Linked DNA regions of Caenorhabditis elegans. The protein of the gene in region 3 interacts with the protein of the main gene of each other region in a biochemical or structural test. Each region holds a gene or a part of one and is shown on either strand. Other genes may lie near its edges. The genes, in order: npr-11, npr-4, flp-18 and npr-6.

Region 1 (6,213 bases), 1.8 Mb from region 3:
TCAAACGTAGCGTTTGCATTTTTTAGTGTACACAGTATACACGTGGCGTCAGGCTGTCTCATCACAGGTTGATCTACAAAAAATGCGGGAATATTTTTGCAAAAATTGTGACGTCAGCACACTTTTAACCATGCAAAATCAATTGAGATGTCTGCGTCTCAACTCCCGCATTTTTTGAAGATCAAACCGAAATGAGATATTCTGACTCCACGTGAGTATATACTTTTGTCCCAAAAGATTTTTGTTATCATTCTTACATCAAATCCCCCCTCCCTTAAAAAAAACAAGCTTTTTTGACCAGTTTCCGATGAGTAGTTCATTAAAATTCACTTTCCTGTCTCGAAACGAAGAACCAAAAACTTCCATATCCATGACGCCATTTGTTTTGAAAAGCTGCCGAACAATATGGTTGTTCAACTCAAAAATACCCTAAATTTTCCGCATGACTGCGCATTTCAGTCAGTCCCCTCCCTAATCTTCGGTCACTTCTCTCAAATTTGACCAATCATCTCTCTTATGACAAGCTTCATTTACAAATCTTCATATGTGAAACATAATAGGCTGAATCAGCAACATACTGACGGAAACGAAAAAAAAAGTAAAAAAAAAGAACATCAAAATCAAATAAATTAGGTTTTAGAAGCGTTTTGAAACAATGACGGAATGATTTATTGTTACCCTACATGTTTTCTTAAACAATCACAGCTGCTCATCTTGCTCCATCGCACTCAGAATCATACTTTCATTCATTCTCTGGAAGGTTGCTGGCTCTGCAGTAGTTACCGTCTTACAGCCTCCACGGCTTCTGAATTCAGTGCGCATACTTTTCTTGAGCGACTCTTGCTCTCCAAATATCACGACTCGAAGGGATCTGGAATATTGCGATATTTTTTTGAATTTTCAGATTTTTCTACAGTACAACCATCTATAATTTTCTTCAAATTTACTCATTATTCCGTGAGCCTAATCTCCGCAATTTTTGTAGATCAATGGTATTACGGGAACACAAAATTGTGAGAATGCGTACTGCACAACATATTTGACGCGCAAAATATCTCGCAGCGAAAACTACAGTAATTATTTAAATGGCTACTGTAGGTCGATTTAGGAGCTTGATTCTCAAATTGAATTAAAATCATTTGTTTATCAATATAATATATAAATTAAGGAGGAAAATATAACAAAAACGAAAAAAAATGGAATATTGATGTCCCTATTCAAAAAGAAAATCACTTCAAAAATTGAGCCCGTAAATCGACACAAGCACTACAGTAGTCATTTAAAGAATTACTGTAGTTTTCGCTACGAGATATTTTGCGCGTCAAATATGTTGTGCAATACGCATTCTCAAAATTTTATGTTCCCATAATAAAGGACCTCTTTATTATGCGTGTCAACTTAGGGCGCTTAATTGGTAGATCGCTTTTATTTTCTGGGTGTATCACGACTTTGATACAAAAGCTGTAAACCAGGCCACACACCGCAACAGTTCTTCTACCAAACTATTACAGTACCTTGGTAGTTCCTATTATATTTATATAACTCTTGAGGAAAGGTTTTCCACAGTGTAATAGCCCCACTGTGTTTAGACCACCTGCCGGCAGGGTCTTAACACGGCAATTTTTTTTCAAAAATTGGAAGGTGAGCCTTTAAAGAGTACTGTAGTTTACAACTCATTGTTTTTATCAACTAATTTTACGAAAAAAAAAATCATCAAATTAATAATTGAAAATTTGAGAAAACCGTATGTCTATGAAAAATTCATGAAATTTTAGCGATAATAAAGTTTGAAAATTACAGTACTCCTTCCTCAAAGGCGCACATACTTTTGTATTTAACAAAAATGTATCGTGACGGGACCTGGTACTGGACGTTTTTGTGCAAAATGACAAAATTGCAAAAATTTTCCACCAACTTTACACATAAGTGTTACCAAAATTAACTTAAAATGTTCACAAACCTCAACCCAACTCTATCGAAAAGATGCATAAATTCGATCCGGAAGTTATGATTGAAAAATGCATAGATCAGCGGATTCAAGCACGCCGAGCACATTGCCAAGCAGTGACAGATGCTGAACGTTGTAACGGAAAAACTGTTGACCAGCTCGAATGTGTTGAACTGAAATTTGTTATGGTTTTAGTGGAACATAAAACGAAAATGCTCCTACGATATGAAAAACGTTGAGTGGCAGCCAGGCGACGGCGAATACAGCTACAACGCATACAAGAAGGAGGTGGGTGCGTCGTTGACGTTCCACGACGGATCTGGAACTTTTTTTAAAATAATTTTATTTCGAAGAACATCTATTTTGTACAATAAATTATGTGAAAAATTTTAAGTTGTTTGATTTTTGAATAAGCTCAAAATTTAGTTCTCCAGGCAAGTAATGATCCGAAAGTTTCAAAAATAACTTGAAATTGGGTGATTGGGTTAATTTCAAAATGTTGTAGATATCAGTTTAGTATAAGTTCATTCACATGATTTTTTTACAAAAAATTAAAGTTTTTTACTAACATTTTTTGAAAATTTTATGACCGCAGATAAAATAACAAATTTTGAGCACATTTTTCTCGAAGTTTCACAGTAGTAAAGGTGGAATAGCCCAAATGGGTAAATTGATAAAAACAACTCCTATGGTGTCAAATATCATAGTAAAACATTTCAAAAAATGCTCTAAAAATTTTTATTGGGCTATTTATTTTTTTTGCACAAATAGAGATTTTCCCAATTTTCAAAAAAAATTACATCAAATTTAGAAAATTGTTTCAATTTTTAAATTGTGGTATTCGGCCCAGGTGGGTCAGATTTTCTCAGAAAAGTTCTGTTAGAACAGTGTTTCAAAAATTTCGAATGCCACTTAAAACGTGGAACTTTACATTTTTCGAAACAAAAACATTTCAAAAATTTCTTACCGTCTCCTCTGACTCGTATTGGTATTTGTTGTCACATTCTGATTTCGGTTTGCAAATCTCAGCTTCATCCGATGTGCTATCCGGGAGTAGGCGAAGACTAGTGAAAACAGGGGAAATGCGTATTGGGTGATAAGAACTGCCAACGTGTAGGTGCCTTTTGATATGATCATCTGGAAAAATTGGAGTTTAGCCGAAATTGTCTTTTTTTATATTTGTTTTTATATTTCCATACATACTGGTTAATATAATACCAGTTAACATGTTTTCAGAAAACTGAAAACTTTAAAAAGTCATTTGAAATTTTATTTGAAAATTTTAAAAAATCGGAACAATTTTTTTAAATTTTTTTTCAACTCTTTTATGTATTTGGAAATTATGACACATTTTCTATTACTCAAAGCAAATTTCCATAGAAAGTATTAAGCAAGTTCCCTTGACTATCGTCACACCATATTAACCTAATTATTACAGTAATACTACAGTACATAGACAGTTTTTATATTTCATTAATAGGAGCTGATACATGAAGCTTATTGTTTAGTTTATAGTTCATTTAGACCACTAAGAACCAACCTTTTCCCATATCTCATTTTGCTCATGGCAAATGTAAAGAGCCAAATCGCACGATGGCTCAACGAAAACCGGTGTCAAATCAGAAGCCTGCAGAAGTGGAACCGCAAGGATTAGGGAAATCACCCAGATCATGATAAAAAAGCAGAACGACAGATTTTGTTGTCGTTCTCGCTTCGTTGGGAAGATAATGAGCACGTATCTGAAAACTTGTTAAATGGCATTTTTAATTAAAAAAAATATATGTACATACCTATCAACAGCAATTGAGGCTATCGAGAATGTGGATAAAAATATGTTAAAGCCTTGCAGCGAACCCGCAATTTTGCATAATGTCCTGCTAAATGGCCAGAACATGTAGAGAACCGTGTATAATGTGGTCGGCGCTGTCACAATACAAACCTGGAATTTTTCAAATTGTTTCCTATCTTCAATAATTCCAGCAAAAAATACTCACAAAAAAGTCCGACAGCGCCAAGTTTAAAATGAAAAAGTTCCTTGTTGTCCGCATTGCTGGGTTGAGTATGACTACGATGATTGTCAAAAAGTTGCCTATTGCTCCAAACAAAATGATCAGCATGTATGCGAATGTGATGAAATATCCGAACTGAAAATTTGAATGTTAAGTTTTGAGTAAGCACTGACCATTTTTAAATTTGCACTGACAAAGTTTTGATTTGCACTGACAAAATTTAAAAAAATTGTCTTTTTGAATACCAACCTCTTTTGGTGAATACTCAGTCCCATTGATAACCTGATCATCTCGAAAAAAGTAGTTGATTTTGTTGAAAATTTCTACATAATTGTCACATGATTCATTCACCGATCCCATTTGTTGAAAGTTCTGAAAATACCGACGAAAATACAAAAATACGGGAGATGAAATTGAAGGCAAGAAAAAAAATATGTGAAACGCCAATTTTCTCACACAGAAGGGAAATAAATAAACGAATATTCCAAGAAATTGAGCATCCAGACTAGTGGTTAGTCGGTCGGTTATAAGAGAAAAATATCAAAAAATGAGAGGTAATTACTGCGAATTATAGAGAAGAAATGAAAATTGAAAAGTGAAAACTATCATCTCATTTAACTCATTCTCCCGCCCCGGTGTCTACTCCCATATCCCTTTTAAATTGAAACTTTATAAAAACAATAACGTTGAAAGACAGGGGTTTGGGAGCAATATGTGCACCGAATTTCAGGAATAACTTAGTTTTTTTTTTTAATAATATTTTTTCAATTTTACCAGCCACAATCATCTATGTTATGCTGCCTAAAAATACACAACTTGCACTGACAAGATGTTTAGTTGCACTGACCAAAACTTCGAATGACTTTATCCAATGGCTATCATATATGCCAATTGCACTGACAAAATTTTCAGTTGCACTGACCACTATATCATTTGCACTGACAAAAATTTTGATTGACTTTATCAGTTGCACTGACCACATCTCCATTGCAATGACCATAATTTTTGGTTTACTGTTAAGAATTGCACCAAATTCGAAAGAATCTCGCAAACAGTCAAAAGCTATAGGAAATAGCAAAAATTAATAAATGTGTGGGAGCAGTTCATGAAAAATAATTTTGAAAAAACAAAAGAAGCGGTGAATGAGCTCACCAGAGACAACCAAATACGATTAAACCAAACTAGTAGCATCACCACAAGAATAAAAAATTTATATGACTTTGTTTTGACGGAACTCGTCTTTTCAACCGCCATTTATTTCGGCCACCCAGGTCGGTTTTTTTAAACATTTCTCTCTGCCATCTTGTGGTGGATATCCATAAACATCGGAAATGCAGGAACGGGCCGGATATGAAATGGAGAAGTGAAACACAACAACAACATCAACAAAAGAAAACTGGTATCAGAAAACAGAACTTTGTGTGTTTTTAAAGGTGGAGTTCCAAAATCTGAGACCTTGAGACTTTCCATTTTTCAGACCAAAAATTTTCGAAAATTTTTTTTTCCGAAAAACAATTGTAGAAATGAGGGGTTTTTTGAGCTAAAATCTCGTTTTTTCACAATTTTGCCAATTAAAAAAGTCCCAACTTGAAGAAATAAGGTTCATTAAATTATCACCCCCTGCGACACATTTTTTCGATTTTTTGATTTTTACAGGGAAACTTTCGAAAAATCGATAAATTAAAATGTTTGTTTTTTGAAAATCTGAAGTAAAAAATTCCGATTTTCTTCAATTTTTTAAAGGGAAAATCGGAAAATCGAAAAATTTTTCCATTTTTTTGAACAATTAAATCGTTAATTTTGTATAAAAGTTTACAGAAAATTAACGATAAAATTATAATTTTTAATCAAAAACCAAACAAGAAAATGTTTGATTTTTTGATTTTAGTTAAAAAAAAATCAATCTAATCTACTGCAAAATCGGATTTTTCCAAAACTTTGATCCAACTTAACTTTGTTTTGAGAAAATTTTAAGCAAAACTAAATAACAATTATTTTATCAAAATTTTGGATTTTATAGTAAATTTTCATAAAGGGTAATAATTAAATGAAACTTACTTATTCAAGTTCTGATTTTATTTAATTGAAAAAATTTTAATTTTGGCTAAGATACAACTTTTTTTTCCAAAATTTTACACCACCATTTCATGTTTTTCGAATAAATTTCAAAACCTTTCAGTACAAAATTCGGTAGTTTCATGTCAAATTGAATCTAAAAAAAGCAAATTTTCAGATTTCTGTTATTTTTCCACCTTT
Region 2 (4,929 bases), 9.5 Mb from region 3:
ATTCATAATTGATACAAGCATTCAAGTTGAGCAGAATGCGCAACATGTTTTTGTGATCAATTGGGGAGAACCTTTACAAAATAATTAAACATTCTTTCTAGGGAGAAATGTGTATTATGAACGTTTTAAACAATTTTGAAAATTGAAACTAATACGTAGAATGTGTAATATTCAAAAAGAACCGAAAATTGAAAATTTCTCAAAACATTGCGAGTTACTATAAATTTGAAAAATTGCCCAGTTTCAACTCTTCAAGAATCAAAAAAAACTTACAAGCGTTTTCCAAGGTTCACATTCATTTTTGAGAATACAAAGAATGATGAGAAAGCAAATAAGAAATTTCTCAAATCTCAAAAGACAAAAAACGATGTTAGTTAGCATTTTCTTACTCAACCCTCCCAAATAGTAACATAAAAATAAGCTCAATTGATCGGACAAATGGCATTTGTGACGCAATCTGCTGAACATGCAAATAACTTCCGAAAATATTATACTAAGCCTATCGCAGCGCAACATGAACTTGGCCAAGGAATCGAAAATTAAAATTTGAATGTGAAAGGCTTTTTCCGTTAAATGCATTTCCCAACGCTTCTCAGATAAATATCTTCTTTAAGCACAAAATAGAATGAAGTAAACGAATTTCCACTTTACTCCTCCGTCCAAGTCTCATCTAGATATATCGGGCCATTTACTATTTCTTCCAAAATATTCGCAAAAGCTCGAATCTATTGCACATCTTGTTCCGGACAAGCCAGACTGCGTCAAACATGCATATAGCAAAACTTCAACCTTTGTTCATTGTTTTCCTCATCGGGACCGGCTAAAAGGTGTACTTCTAGGTTGGTGACTGGTGTTTTCATAAATTACGAGACAATTGGGTGCCTACGTTGTCTCGTGACTTTGGTTTTCTTTTAATGTTCTCATTTTGTATTTGTTCATCGCGGTCAAAAAAACAAGAAGACGGAATGAAATAAATGGTTATTTTCCCAGAACCACTGATTTTTTAAGTGGAAGTAGTTTTCATAATTCATAAAAAATTCATTTAAAAAAAGCAAATGGGCTAGACAATGTGGTGTTTTCAAAACAAAAGCACATCACAATTATATAAACTGAAAATTATTTTTGAGGTCCGTAACAACCAGGAAATATGTATACGGTAATATTGCAAATTATTAAAGATTTTGGAAAAAAAATCATGTTCTTCAGCAGGTTCAAAGGAAACAAAAGAAAAAGCGGAGTGCTGTGACAATCTTAAAGCTGTAGTACGGTAGGTGAAAAATAATTGAAAACCATTACAATAGTGGTGCTAAAATTACCAAATATCAAAATGAAATTTTTGAAATCTTGACTCGGAGTAAAAAAAAATTTCAATAGCTTTTGAAAAGTTTATCATAATATTTTATCATTTTTGCAATATTAAACGGTTTTAATCATGTCCCCACTGGCTGTACAACATATCTTTCCGCCTACTCACAACCAATCGTAAAAACTTTTTTCCTCTTTCCCCTTCCCACATTTCACGTCAGCATTTCTGCAGATACCTTCTAATTTTGTATTTCAGATACATTATAATAACACCATGCTGGCATTTTTAACATTTTGAGCTTTGAGCATCAAAGATCGAACACTATGCGTTTCTCTCCTAATATATAAGATCAATTCTTTAGCGGCTCTATTTTAAAACGTCATTAATGAAATGAGTACGGAGAGAGAGACAGAGAGGAACTATAGGTGGGTGGTATAAAAAACTCGAGAGAGCGGGAGAAAGTTTCAAAGTTTTCCTTCCTTCTAAGGAATTTGATTATCTTAGGTCAGCGAAAAGTTGCAAAGATGAAGTGGTTGGTCCGTAGGAGAATGAAGTGCCAAAAAGTACAACGAGTAAGAGGAATACTGTTTTTGGATCCAAAAAATCTAGATTAAATCGTTCAAGAAAAGTCTTACTATAAGAATCTTGAAAAGTAAAAGTTCAACATTTGAGCTATTGTAAAATCGTTAGCAAAAAGTCAAAAAGAGCAATGTTCACAATTGTAGCGATTTTTTTCAAAATCACAAACGAATTGCCATTGATCTGCGAAAAACACCCAACAAACTCACACCACCCTTTGATCCATATTTTTTAGTTTTACTGGGTACAATTTCTCAATTTTGCCAATGATTTGTTTCTTGTTTTACATGATTAGCTGCAATTCAGTATTGTCTAACGCAATGCACCAAGAATCTTGATTGGCACCGAAAAATTGAGAATGTTGATCTAAAGATCAAAAACCCTTTTTTTTTTGGTAATGGAAAAACACCAATTCAGAAGAAAAAAAAAAGAACTTCACCAATTGAAAGTCGCATGACTCGTTCTCAACTGAGAAACGTGGAAAACGTCATCATTTGTTTTCTAGAAAAGGGGTGGCATTTTAAACTTGTTGAACTAAATTCAATTTTATGCAAAACGGAAGAAGGTTTCGAGATGTGATTTCAATTTAAGAAAGTTTTGACGGCGACGAATAAGAGCTGGTTGGCTCAAAAACACAATCGAGATTTGTCAGAGAATGAGTGATGGTGTGACAAGTGCACCACAATTTTGGAGTTTTCACTCGAAATTAGTGTTGTTTTTTTTACCATAGCTCGTCAAAATAGGCAATAATCTAATATTCACAAGTGTCTGAATTTGGGCTTAGAACTTTAACACTTGAGTTGTGGGAGGGTTTCTCTTTCAACTTTCCCAGAAACTAATAGACACCTCATTTGAAATGCGGAGGGGGACCCATTTTCCATTTTCAGGAACTTACCTTTCTCCAAACTTTCTTGCTCGGGTTATATTCCCGATTGTTATTGTGCCAATTTCCAGTAACATTGTTCTGTATATGTGTCTTCACCTAACAACTTTTCAGTTGCAATTCTCCGTAAACTTTGTGTTGATATCTGAAAATCAAACGATTGGTTATATAGTTTACAGTGACCGAGAGGCTTACCGTGATTAAATGAGAGCCTGGTGCCAAGGCAAGCTGGGCTGAAACAAATTGTATTTAGATAAATTCAAAGAAAGAATGGACAAGAAGAAATTGTGAGAAAAGATTAATATTATCCTCAACATCTGGCACCAAAAGCGTTTGTTTTCAGAAACGTTTGTACATTCTGCACTAATGCAATAAACTAATCGAGTTGGAATGAGAAAAATGGAGCAAGACAGGCGGAAAAGTTAATTTTCAGATTCTTAGAAAAAAACAAACAAAATTTTATGGCGGAGGATTACAATGACAAAGGATTTTTGCCTTTGTAAGTCTTTTCACTTTTGAAGAAACTAGTCTAGACTAGAACATGTGAAAACACCTTGAACTTTTTTTCAAGTTGTTTTAACTTTGGTGAAAAGTCAAATACTGGAAAATATTTTTTAATTGAATAAAATTATCTTTAATTTGTTTAAGGAGAATTTCAAAACCAACTAGAACAGGTAAGAAAACTTCAATTTTGCATTACTTGAAGATGGGTGAACTAGAAAGCTTTACCGCCAAACCTATTTTTTTTCAATGTGTACTACATTAAAGTTCTACAACATTATTTTATTTTTCAAATTAAAACTAAATTATATGTTATCCATAGAATTAGTTGATTTCATATTTCCTTACAATTGGAAAAATAAGTTTCGAGAAATACACAAACAATAATCACTACTTTTGTTTTTCAATCAAATTTGTGGAATTTAACATTTTTATATACTAATCTAAACATGACTCTACAAACAAATTTTTGTTATACTGTGAAACCGAAAATATAAAACAAAAGTGCTTCGATTTTTGGAGTTGAAAGAACAATTCGAACTCCGAACTCACTTCATCAAAAACCAACATGATTTTCTTCTTGTACAAAGATCGCAACAATTAAAACGGAAACAAGTGTAAGGTAAATAATAAAAAAGGACCAACCGACTGCAGATTGGCTTGCCCTTCTTCCGCAGGCGTTGCTCAATTGTCTTAGAGGGTCCATTTGGTTGTAAAAAAAGGGATTGAAGCCAGGAAAAAGAAGAATGGAGGGCGGAGAGCGGAGGAAAAAAGGTTCGGAGAAAAGGATGATAGAGTCATGCGGGGATGACCTCTAAGGATGTGCAAATGTTGCGTTGATTATTCAAGTCTGCGATTGGATGATTGGAGGATTGGGCTGATTTCGTCATTTGCTATCTAAGATTCAGGTGAATGCAATGAAGGTTCGGAGACCAAGTGCGATGCGTAAGAAAATGGTAATGAGCGCTGGGGATATTGAATGAACTTTCCCAGATCTTTGGAATAATTTTTATAAGACAACAGAAACTTGTTTTGTTGGAAAGGCCGTAAATTCTGTTACAATGTTATGTATATCAAATCTTTTTGCTTTTTTGTAAAATTTTTTTGATTTAATATCGTGTTTTTTTTCAGAGACTGCTTTCAAAATACATAACTATTTATCAGCGTTTATAAATTAGTAAGAAACACTGGAATTATCCATAAAAACAACAAAGTCAGTGAAAAGTTTGTGGGCTTGTTGCACAGATATTTATAATTTTGTTTTTTTTTTCGTATGTATTACATTAATAAATAAAAACATGAATCTTCACAAAGTCCGCTTTGTTTCAGCTGTGATTTGATAAAAAGCTCATCGAAAATTTCAAAAATTGTTCGTTTAAAAAACTTTCCAATCGTAACTTGAGATTGATTTTTTTGCAAAAACTGAAAGTGTTCCGGCAAAAAAATTTCGGCTAAGTTACACTGCGGGTTACGTTTGGTAACACAAATTCCCATAAATTCATCAAAATTTGCGTGCTTTGTGCCTCACTTACTTTAGAGTCAACTTACTTGCCTTAGAGGATACATTAATTTTTAATTTTTTTGAAGTTCATGTGTCTTCTGCAAAACGAAAAAAACATTGTGCATTTATTTAAATTTTCTTTTTGCTAAACGTTTCCAG
Region 3 (4,213 bases):
AATTTTAATATTGATGCTCTCTCTGAAATGAAAGAAAAATTGTACAGTACTAGATTCATCAGTGTATTGGGAAAAGCAGTTTGAAAAAATCTTCATGATCCCAGATTCAATTAATCAAATCTGAAACTTGAAAGAGAATTAAGGACGGAAATTACCTGTGCACATGAAGTTGGTTATTTGATAATTCAAAAAACTTTTCTGCGTTTCAAATTTTTTGGAATCATTTTGATACACATGCTTCAAATTTTCAGCAGCTTCATGAATAGACTCATTTCACACTGGGTTCTGTTTAGACTTATCTAATCTGATAACTGACATAACACAAAGCATACTTTTTCATCGTTTGAAAGCTCAATGAATCAATTCCTAAAATGCACAGAGTTGGAGGTAATTATTCTTTTCAACACACGTCAACCATGAACAAATCTGCTTTTCAACATTGTTCAGAAAACAATTGATAGACACACAACTACATTACTCAAAAATTAGACGAACTGTGTTTGACGTAACAGGAAATGATTCATTTAATCGTATGGAGCTCTAGAATTGACAACGTTTAGTATCATTGTTGAAAAGAGACAAAAACTTAATATTAAGTGATTGAAATGAGACGCTCGGAAGAAAAGAAGAAAAACAACGAGATCATCGAATTGTCGCTGGCACATTTTACATTCACATTCATCTGAAACTTGATACATGTCAGACTGGCAAAATCTTATTTAGAAACTTACAATTTACTTCCGTCCGAATCGGAGAACACCTGGCACACTTTTCTTGAGCAAAACCCCTGCGTAATGCTCTTCCAAGTCGGATCGCTTTCCAAATCTGAAAACAAAAACCTTGGTAAGCTGGATGAAGTCTTAAAATGATCGGACCTCAATACACCGGGAACATCGCGTTTTCCGAAACGGAGAACTCCGGGCACTTCACTGCGCTTGTCGAACGAATCAGCCATGTAATCTCTCTTTCCGAATCTCAACACTCCTGGGATCTCCCGTTTGTCCATTGGCACATCACGTTTTCCGAAACGAAGAACGCCTAAAAACTGAGATGTTATTTGATTTAGAATAGATGATGATGCCACCTGGAACACTTTTCTTCTCATCGAAATATGAGCGTTTCCCGAAGCGAAGAACTCCTGAAAGTCAATTTTCAGTATGCAATAAACCAACAAGGAACTACTTACCTGGAACACTTTTCTTCTCGTCAAAATATGCACGTTTACCGAAACGGAGCACTCCCGGCATTTCTTTTTTCTGCACACTGCTTTCTCTTTTTTCCCAAACACCTCCACGTTTTCCAAAGCGCAACACACCTGGCATCGCCCCATCAAAGTCTGAAATTAGACAAAAAATTGATGGTTAGTTGTACGAAGAATTTTGTACCTCTTTTTGAGAATACCCGACCGTCTTGTTTCTCGTTGGTCCGAGTCACTTCGATATCCTCTGCTGGTATGTCTTCTTCGACGATTTCATAGACTGAAAATATAAGTTGTTTCAATGTGCCGTCTTGTATTTAGGGCTGCCATATCGGACGTCCGGCGTCCGACAATTTCCGAGTTGAGCCACTCATTATAAAATTATATGATTATGTATAGTGAGTGGTCAAACTCGGAAGTTATCGGACGCCGTGAAAAACTACCCCTTGGAAAAAAAAGTTTGCGCCCCTATCGGACGCTAAGCGTCCAAATTCCTCCTAATTGCAGTTATGTATGTGTTTCGATCGACCTTACGAGAATTTTCAAAAATTTCAAATTCATGCTTTCAAATCGACACAATTCAATTGTGCACCCCTGTTGAAAAAAGAAACGAAAAAAAACACGTTTCTTGTTGATTGAAATCGTCGAAATACATCACTTTGGCAGAACGACAGCGTCATTTTACTTGGCTTCCCGCGTTGGTCTAGATGGGTACAGAGCACCATCGAACGAAACATGTCCCAACGGGCCCCGACAAGAAAGAATAAAAAACTCAGCATCCAACTCAACACTATCTTTCCACAATATCCATAGGCGCCCCCTTTTTTTCCCGCTACATCTTGTTTTCATCCAAGCGTTTTTCCTTCCAAAAATACATTGGGCCACTCTAGATTATAGAAAGTTTGAAGGTCAGTGGAAACACTTTTCAATAAGACAATAACACCAAGTCTAGAGATTCACGGACCGTGGGAAGCAGCGAAGATTATTCATAGGTCTCACTGGAAAATGAATATCACAGAAGCTTATAAAAACTAATGAAGTTTCAATACGGATGCGATGTTTGAACACCGCGCAAAATTATTTCAGCTAACTACGTCAGGTCCAGAATTTTGAAAAAAAACTAATGTACGCGAAACCAACGTTTCGACAAACTACAAAGTTAAAAATTTTAAAATAAAATTCAAGATTACATTAAGACAAATTATTGCCGTCATTTTATTCAATCTTCCACGCTGATCTGGGGCTATCCAAACTCCCTTCAAACCCAATTAAGAGATTGGATCAGCCAAGACTTTTCTTTGTTTCGTTCATCAAGAACTTACTTGGTTCGGTATATGCGAGCGCCCCACGAAGCAAACAACACAGCGAAATGAGAAGAACGCCCGACCACCGTTGCATGTCTAACCCTGAAATTATTATTTTTAGTTGTTAAAGCAATCGTTATTGTAGTTAAATAATAAACGTCTTGATGCCAATAATATGAAATATGAGAGTATTAAGCTTCTAGCCTCTTTCCTCAAGAACGACATCCCATCAAATGACACTCGCTAAAAAGTAAACGAACATTTTTAGGAAGATACGAAGAAGGAAGAAGTCACACCAGATCCTGGATTCCCCGCCTTTTCTCGTTACCGTAGAAGGTGAAGCAATGAAAAGTGACACGCTGACATCTTGACGTGGCTCATGGGTCGAGGGGAAGAAGCTGAGGAACTCGGGGTGTGTGGTTTTGCGGAAACGCGTGTACAAGGTATTCGAAACACCCCCCCCCCTTATTTGAAAATAGTGTCATCGGTGAGTGGCACATTTATCTAATGAGATTTCACTCATGTCACTTCCTAGGCGGGAAATTCAAAAGTTCGAAAACAAATCGAAATTTTGAATTACTAAATGTGAGAGAATGATGGCGTATTTTTTTGTTTAATATTTGATCTAAGAAGAAGTAACTTGAATAGACATAACTTTCGATCTTTGGAAGGAATTTTAAGGCTTGGGAGGAAGATTTTTCATTCAAAAAAAAACATAATTGATCAGCCCGTTCAGACACAAAAAAGACTATTTTGAAAATTGAGAAACACGGTAAGCTGAAAATTTAAAAACTTCTTTGGTTTCAGTCCTATTTATATGAGGGGTGGGATCTATTCGAACGGACCATTGAGTTGAGGCTCCGCCCCTCCTAAGAAACAACGACGTCATTTCTTTTTTCATGGTGGAAAAAAGCACTGATGTAGAGAATAGTTGAAGAAAGTTAGAGTTGTAGAGAAATAAGAAAAAAAGACACAATACAATTGAATAAATCGGGTGGGACCAGTAAGAACTTCAATTGTGCGGAGTTTATCTGCACAGGTTGTGGCGCAGCTAACGAAAAGAAGATTATCTTTTTTTTCCTAAATTCTCAGCGCACGTAACACACACGTCGTGTCATCGTCGAATCTCATTTCGGGGGTAGATTTCAAATAGATTGGCTGGTTTCCACTCAATTTAAAGAGGGTCAAGCCCACGCGTTGATTGAGGGAAGACTACAACATCTACTTGAGCTGAGTCAAATAACACGAACCCGCCAAAACACAACTACAACACACGCTACCTTTGAAGATGATCTATGAATATTCATAGAGTAAGCTTGGAAAAAAATCAGTGCAAAAATCTATTCCGCCCAGGTCATTATATTGTAATTCAATTGATCTACTAACACTTATTGGCAAAATTAGCTTTGGGCTTGTATCTGATCATTTTACAAAATAGAACATTCGGCTCATAAAAAGTAAGATTAAAGAAAGTTAGAAAATAAAGGTTCCGTCTCAGAAGTGAACTTGAACTGAGAAGTAGTAATAGTGTATATTAAACTGCAAAAGGTGGCATTGAAAATCATAACAATAGGTTCAAGCTTTATTTTCATGTTTTCGTGACCCTATTCCGGCTAAGCTGGGATATTTATAGAGACTGGTTAATATTCAGTAAAAAGTTGTAAGTTTTACTTTTTCATGACCATGTGGGCTTTCAATTAGCCATGTCTTA
Region 4 (5,325 bases), 7.3 Mb from region 3:
TAAATACAAATACAAGTTCACATATATTCAATACGTTTTCAACAAAATTACATACAATCGAAACAATTTCTGATTTTGTTGTTTTTTTCGAACTCTTCCCGAAGATATGAGTGAATAAGTGAAGCTGATCATGGTTTTTGAGGCTTTTTGCTGAAAACATATCATCATCATTTTCGGAGAACACAGAACTCACCAACCAATTTGATTCACTTTAGTTTCGTCGTTCGAATCAAATTTTTATCTGACTAGTAAATATTATGAATTAGAAGAAAAACGTCTGAGTTTTTTGTTCTCGGTCAACTGATTTTTTCTCCAAACCGTGCTCACTTATCTATTTTGATAAATGTGACGTTTCATTAAAATTTTCGTTGTGTCATCAAGTATACTCCTTGAGCTAAAATTTATATTAATTTTCGATTTATTCTGATTTCTGTTTTCAAAAATGTTTTCCTACGCTCATTATCCAATTTCTATCCTTTGCCTTACAATTTTGAGCTGTATTTGGTTGTCTCAGTTTCACCAAAGCTTATCCGCCCTCTCAGAATTGTTTACTTTAGTTCATGTGCAACGTTTCTCCTTTTCCACCTCAAGGAGTGCTTCAGTTTTTCTCGACTTTTTTCTGGTGCCCCTCATCGCCCGGTCGAAATTCAATTTCCGCGGTATTGGAGTCGGATTTCCAGACGAAAAATAGAGAATAGACGGATGAACCCTATACATAGACAGGGCAAGGGCAAAGACGAAACTATCAAAAGGAAATGTTCTAAAAAAGGTCACCTACTATGCGAGTCCTTTTTTTTGCAACAATGAGAGCTTTATCAATCAAGATAATAACATTATCCTTGGTTCGTAGTAGCCTACATCTCATGAATGTTTCACATCCCACCATTTAGAGAGATTAAATCCATTGGCTCCTTACATTATCTTTTTTCTATTTCTTCTCCACGTCCATATTTCATTTCTGATTTTCAATTGAAACCAAATAATTTGAATCTAGCTTGTTGAACTTACGTAAGCGTCTTCTTCTTCGAATTTCGACCCTTTCTTTCTGTTTTTTATAGGAAATTCAAAATTCGCTTCATCGAAGATGAATTCATAACATAAATCAAAGGACTCTCGATTCGCTTTGTGCGTTTGCGTACCAGTTTTTAGGCAAATTTTAAATAAATGAGTATGTAGTTTGTTTAACGTAAAGGGAAAAAAGAAGGGTCTCAGCTTATTTCGAAAAAGAGAAAATTTCTCACATGTATATGGATTCTTTCCCTTTTAAAAGTTCACGACGCCTCCTCTTTTCTCACTTTGAGATTCACTTTTCGCGTCTAGAATTGCAAGTCTCACACAGAAAGTGAGAAAATAAGAAAATGAGGGAAGTGTTTGGCTCATGTTCTCTTTTTTATTTGATTGACAAGAAGAATTGAAAACAAACAATTTTTAAAAAATCATTGAAAACTTTGGGTTCTATTGAATCTGTTTAATAGTGTATTATTAATATTGTAATTTTTATTGATTTTTTTTTTCAAAAATCATGACATCAGTTTTGTATTATATGAACTATGTAGATTTCTAGTTTAGATGTGGTCGCTCTTCTAGTGTCAATTGCAAAGATGCGAATATCATTAAATTTTCATAACTGACTTAACATATTCTCAATTTTATATTCTTTTGGGAGCTTTAAATTTGAAAATACTTCTAACATCTTTTGCTCTATGAAACGTGTCAAATCTCGTTTTTTCTCCTTAAAATCAAGTTCATTTCCGACTCTTCCACCGCGCCCACGTCAGAATATTATGAACTTAAAGAGGTCTAAACGAGACACATCGCAACCAAACATATCCAGTTCACAATTCTTAAAATGTACTCGATTTATCTCCCGATTCTAATATTTTCAGCTCTTCGTTTATCCCAATTTCTGATAATATTTGATTCAGATGTCGAATGATCTCGTGCCTTCAGTGTCTTCTATACTAAATGAAACAACACCTTCATATCAAAGTACATGTAAAATCAAAAACGTAAGTTTTCGTGTCCAAAATTGTTCGTGAACGTTTGAAAAAAAATCAAAAATGTTCATTGAAACTATTTGATTATGAATTATTTTAACTGAAGCCGAGTAATTTTTATTTTAAAAAAACACGTTTCAGAACCCCATGGAAATGGAATATTTCCGCCCATTCTTTATTTCTATGTATTGTGCTGTTTTTTTGGTTGCTAGTTCCGGTAATTTTTTGGTAAGTAATATCATTTTCGATTTCTCCAGTTTTCCAACAACTGTGTTTAAGGTGGTGTACGTTGTGATGACGAACAAGCGAATGCAGACGATCACCAACATTTTTATTACAAATCTCGCAGTTTCTGATATAATGGTTAACTTTACGTGGGTTTTTTTTGAAATCGGAAGTGATATATCCGGTTCTTATATTCAGATCGTTGTGGCTTACACCAACATACACCTCAATAGGACATTGGATATTCGGAGGTGGATTGTGTCATGGTTTACCCCTGTTCCAAGGTATTGGTTTACATATAGACGGGAAGTTAAGCAGTGATCAAGCATCTAACTATACAGGTACAAGTATCTTCATCAGTACGTGGACACTTACGGCTATAGCCATAGATCGATACATAGTGATCGTGCACAACTCATCAAATATCAATATAAATGATAGAATGTCCATGAGAGTAAGTTGAGCAGGAACAATGTATCAATAAAAAACCTAACTCCAAAAAACCAAAACTCTCATTTCTTAGTCTATAGAAAGGTGTTTTTGAAGTACAGTTAACAAAGTAACCTCCATGAAAATAATAGTTTTTCCTGTTTTCGGTGTAGAACAACTTTGTAATTGGAAAAAATTCTAATTTTTAAAATTTTTTTGAAACTTTCGTACATACCAAATTCAGTCTTGCCTTTCGTTCATTGTCCTCATTTGGCTATGCTCATTGCTTCTGGTCACTCCGTATGCCATCAACATGAAGCTCAACTACATTCATGAACCATGTGATTTTCTGATATGTAGTGAGGACTGGAGCAATGCCGAATTTCGATCTATTTTTGGAATTGTGGTGATGATTCTTCAAGTGAGTTGGGGACAATGAAATTATTTGTATAAATTACCGGGGGATTATATATACATATATCTATGCCTATGCACAAATCAATTTTCAGTTCATTTTGCCATTTGTACTCATTGCCATTAGTTACATAAAAATATGGTTGTTCCTAAATAGCCGTCAAAGTATGACCGAGAGAAAATCCGATATCAAGCGCAAAAAGCGTTTACTACGGATGTTGATTGTCATGGTGGTCATCTTCGCAATTTGCTGGTTCCCATTCAACCTCTTGTTAGTTTAGAAGTGAATAATATGTCATATATTTGAAATAAATTCAGAAACTGTCTCCGAGATCTCAAGTTGGATAATTTCATGCGTGGCTACTTCAGTTTTGTTTTCCTTTCCGTGCATTTGATGAGTATGACAGCTACCGCCTGGAATCCAATCCTCTACGCATTCATGAATGAGACCTTCCGGTGGGTTTATGGGATTTGCATTTCGCCGCCGTCTGGTCGAAAACCCGTTTTAAACAATACAGACAACAATTGATAATCATTAGTGACTCAACGATTTATTGGAAAATAAATTGCAGTTAAAAGATTACGAGGGGTTGTTTTCTTCTCGTTCAGGTTGAAAATACAAGTTATAAAATTTGATACGTAAACATGTGCTAGAAAATACAATTGATAAAAAGTCAAGAAGTTTTATCTTAGACTGCATTTGTGTGTTCAGTTCTCATTTATTTTATTAAAAATTTATTTTTTATAAATACTCAATAAAATTTCCTCTCGTGACACTGTTTCTTCTTATAATTAGAAACAGATTAAACTAAAAAAAAAGACACTTTTTGGTAAATTTAGGATTATTTAAAAAATTTGCACAGTTCAAAATTCAATTAAATTCAATTAAATTAAATTCAATAAATTGAATTATTTAATTTTCATTTTCTTGCAATGCTCATTTTCAGTGAGGAGTTCGCAAAAGTTGTTCCCTGCTTGTTTGCGCGTCGTCCTGGAACTGGTCCAATTCGCGTCATCACTGGTAAAACCTGATAAATTTGAAGTTATTTTTGCTTAGCTTTTTTTTTAGAACGCACCGCTATGATAACTAACCCGTTTCGACGTGCAAACCGAAAAAAAAAAGTGGAGGAACAGCCTGTTACGGTGATTTCTGGTGAGTTTTACTTTTATGTTGTTTGATCCTTAGTTATTCTTCGTTAAGAACTTTTACACCCGACATCCAACGAAGAATAGGAAGCCATTCATTCCCTGCATGCACTCGTTGTCAGTGAACTTTTCAACAAACCAGCAATCTTTAGAAACAGATTCAGAGAGTCCACTTCAAACTGCAGTGGAGCCGCAGCGCAGTATCGTGTATCTCGATGAGCCTGAGAACGGATCAAGTTGTCAGACGCTTCTGCTTTAAGCCGCTCAATACAAAACCGGAAAGTCAGAACAAAAGTCGCTTTTAGTCATGTCACTTGCCAGTACATTTATCCGCTTTCCACTTGCCTTCATATGTAATTTTCATAAAAACACTTATTCAACATTTTATTTTTTTGGTCATATTGTTTTTCTTTCCTAAGATTTTTTCAGCTAAATCTCTGATCAAACCTGTCCTGATCTAAACTATGTGGTTATACTTAACTTATGCACTGCTGTATTTGCACAAATCTTGCTTGATGCTGATTTATCTTTTGTTTCTTCTTCTTGTCACATTTTGATAAAATATTTGTAAATGAAATTTCATATTGGTTACAAAAAATTGGTTCAACTGGTGTGGTTGATAAGATCAGATATGGTTCAAGTAAGAAGGGTATAACAGAATCATGACGAAATTTCAGAATGACATATTTAAAAACATGCTGGAACGGGAAATTGGTAGATGTGGATAAGTAAAATAAATCGAATTGGAAAATTGGTGAAATGTCTTTTCCTGGTTATGGTCATTTAAATTGAATTTGAATTGACTTGATAATAATATTATAAATATGGGAAATTAGGAATTATTTTGTTTTTTTTTTCAGAGGAAAATTGTAATAAAATCTAAAAAGTTTGGGTAAATTTTTAATATCTTTCGATAACAGCTTCACTGCGGTATTCCGAATATGTCTTCGGACGGGCGGCATAGATGGTTTCATCAACATGATCACCATTCATATAGGTTTTGTCAAAATTTTTCTCAATTGCCGGCGCATCCTGAATGAAAATTTGTTTCACATTGCATTTCAAAAATGGGAGTGAGAACGCTACCTGTGGATTGTATTGAGAGAGACATTTA

Evidence for each region.
Region 1: of the proteins of flp-18 (region 3) and npr-11, one has a biochemical effect on the other in vitro, tested with the Caenorhabditis elegans proteins (one study listed by BioGRID).
Region 2: of the proteins of flp-18 (region 3) and npr-4, one has a biochemical effect on the other in vitro, tested with the Caenorhabditis elegans proteins (3 studies listed by BioGRID, with this or other methods).
Region 4: of the proteins of flp-18 (region 3) and npr-6, one has a biochemical effect on the other in vitro, tested with the Caenorhabditis elegans proteins (one study listed by BioGRID).

Annotation. Positions count from the first base shown.
Region 1 is NC_003284.9:1,251,299-1,257,511, forward strand, and holds npr-11 (Putative neuropeptide Y receptor 11), read right to left. Parts: upstream 4,350-6,213; 5' UTR 4,318-4,349; coding exon 4,207-4,317; intron 4,093-4,206; coding exon 3,943-4,092; intron 3,888-3,942; coding exon 3,739-3,887; intron 3,688-3,738; coding exon 3,489-3,687; intron 3,086-3,488; coding exon 2,916-3,085; intron 2,268-2,915; coding exon 2,171-2,267; intron 2,122-2,170; coding exon 1,961-2,121; intron 872-1,960; coding exon 700-871; 3' UTR 517-699; downstream 1-516. UniProt on the Caenorhabditis elegans protein: Could be a receptor for neuropeptide Y and peptide YY.
Region 2 is NC_003284.9:12,548,677-12,553,605, forward strand, and holds the start of npr-4 (G-protein coupled receptors family 1 profile domain-containing protein), read right to left. Parts: upstream 3,002-4,929; 5' UTR 2,964-3,001; intron 2,914-2,963; 5' UTR 2,846-2,913; coding exon 2,781-2,845; intron 1-2,780.
Region 3 is NC_003284.9:3,011,683-3,015,895, forward strand, and holds flp-18 (SVPGVLRF-amide 3), read right to left. Parts: upstream 2,605-4,213; 5' UTR 2,597-2,604; coding exon 2,521-2,596; intron 1,479-2,520; coding exon 1,386-1,478; intron 1,337-1,385; coding exon 1,187-1,336; intron 1,139-1,186; coding exon 1,085-1,138; intron 1,039-1,084; coding exon 876-1,038; intron 826-875; coding exon 735-825; 3' UTR 732-734; intron 683-731; 3' UTR 508-682; downstream 1-507. UniProt on the Caenorhabditis elegans protein: FMRFamide-like neuropeptides. Ligand to G-protein coupled receptor npr-1. Involved in modulating locomotion quiescence during the sleep-like state called lethargus which occurs during molting between larval and adult stages, acting via npr-1.
Region 4 is NC_003284.9:10,282,296-10,287,620, reverse strand, and holds npr-6 (G-protein coupled receptors family 1 profile domain-containing protein), read left to right. Parts: upstream 1-1,886; 5' UTR 1,887-1,925; coding exon 1,926-2,009; intron 2,010-2,138; coding exon 2,139-2,225; intron 2,226-2,276; coding exon 2,277-2,371; intron 2,372-2,420; coding exon 2,421-2,506; intron 2,507-2,563; coding exon 2,564-2,676; intron 2,677-2,895; coding exon 2,896-3,072; intron 3,073-3,160; coding exon 3,161-3,336; intron 3,337-3,383; coding exon 3,384-3,521; intron 3,522-4,012; coding exon 4,013-4,086; intron 4,087-4,134; coding exon 4,135-4,218; intron 4,219-4,375; coding exon 4,376-4,470; 3' UTR 4,471-4,802; downstream 4,803-5,325. Other genes in the region: slc-9B.1 (Cation/H+ exchanger transmembrane domain-containing protein), read right to left, coding at 5,112-5,243, 5,298-5,325.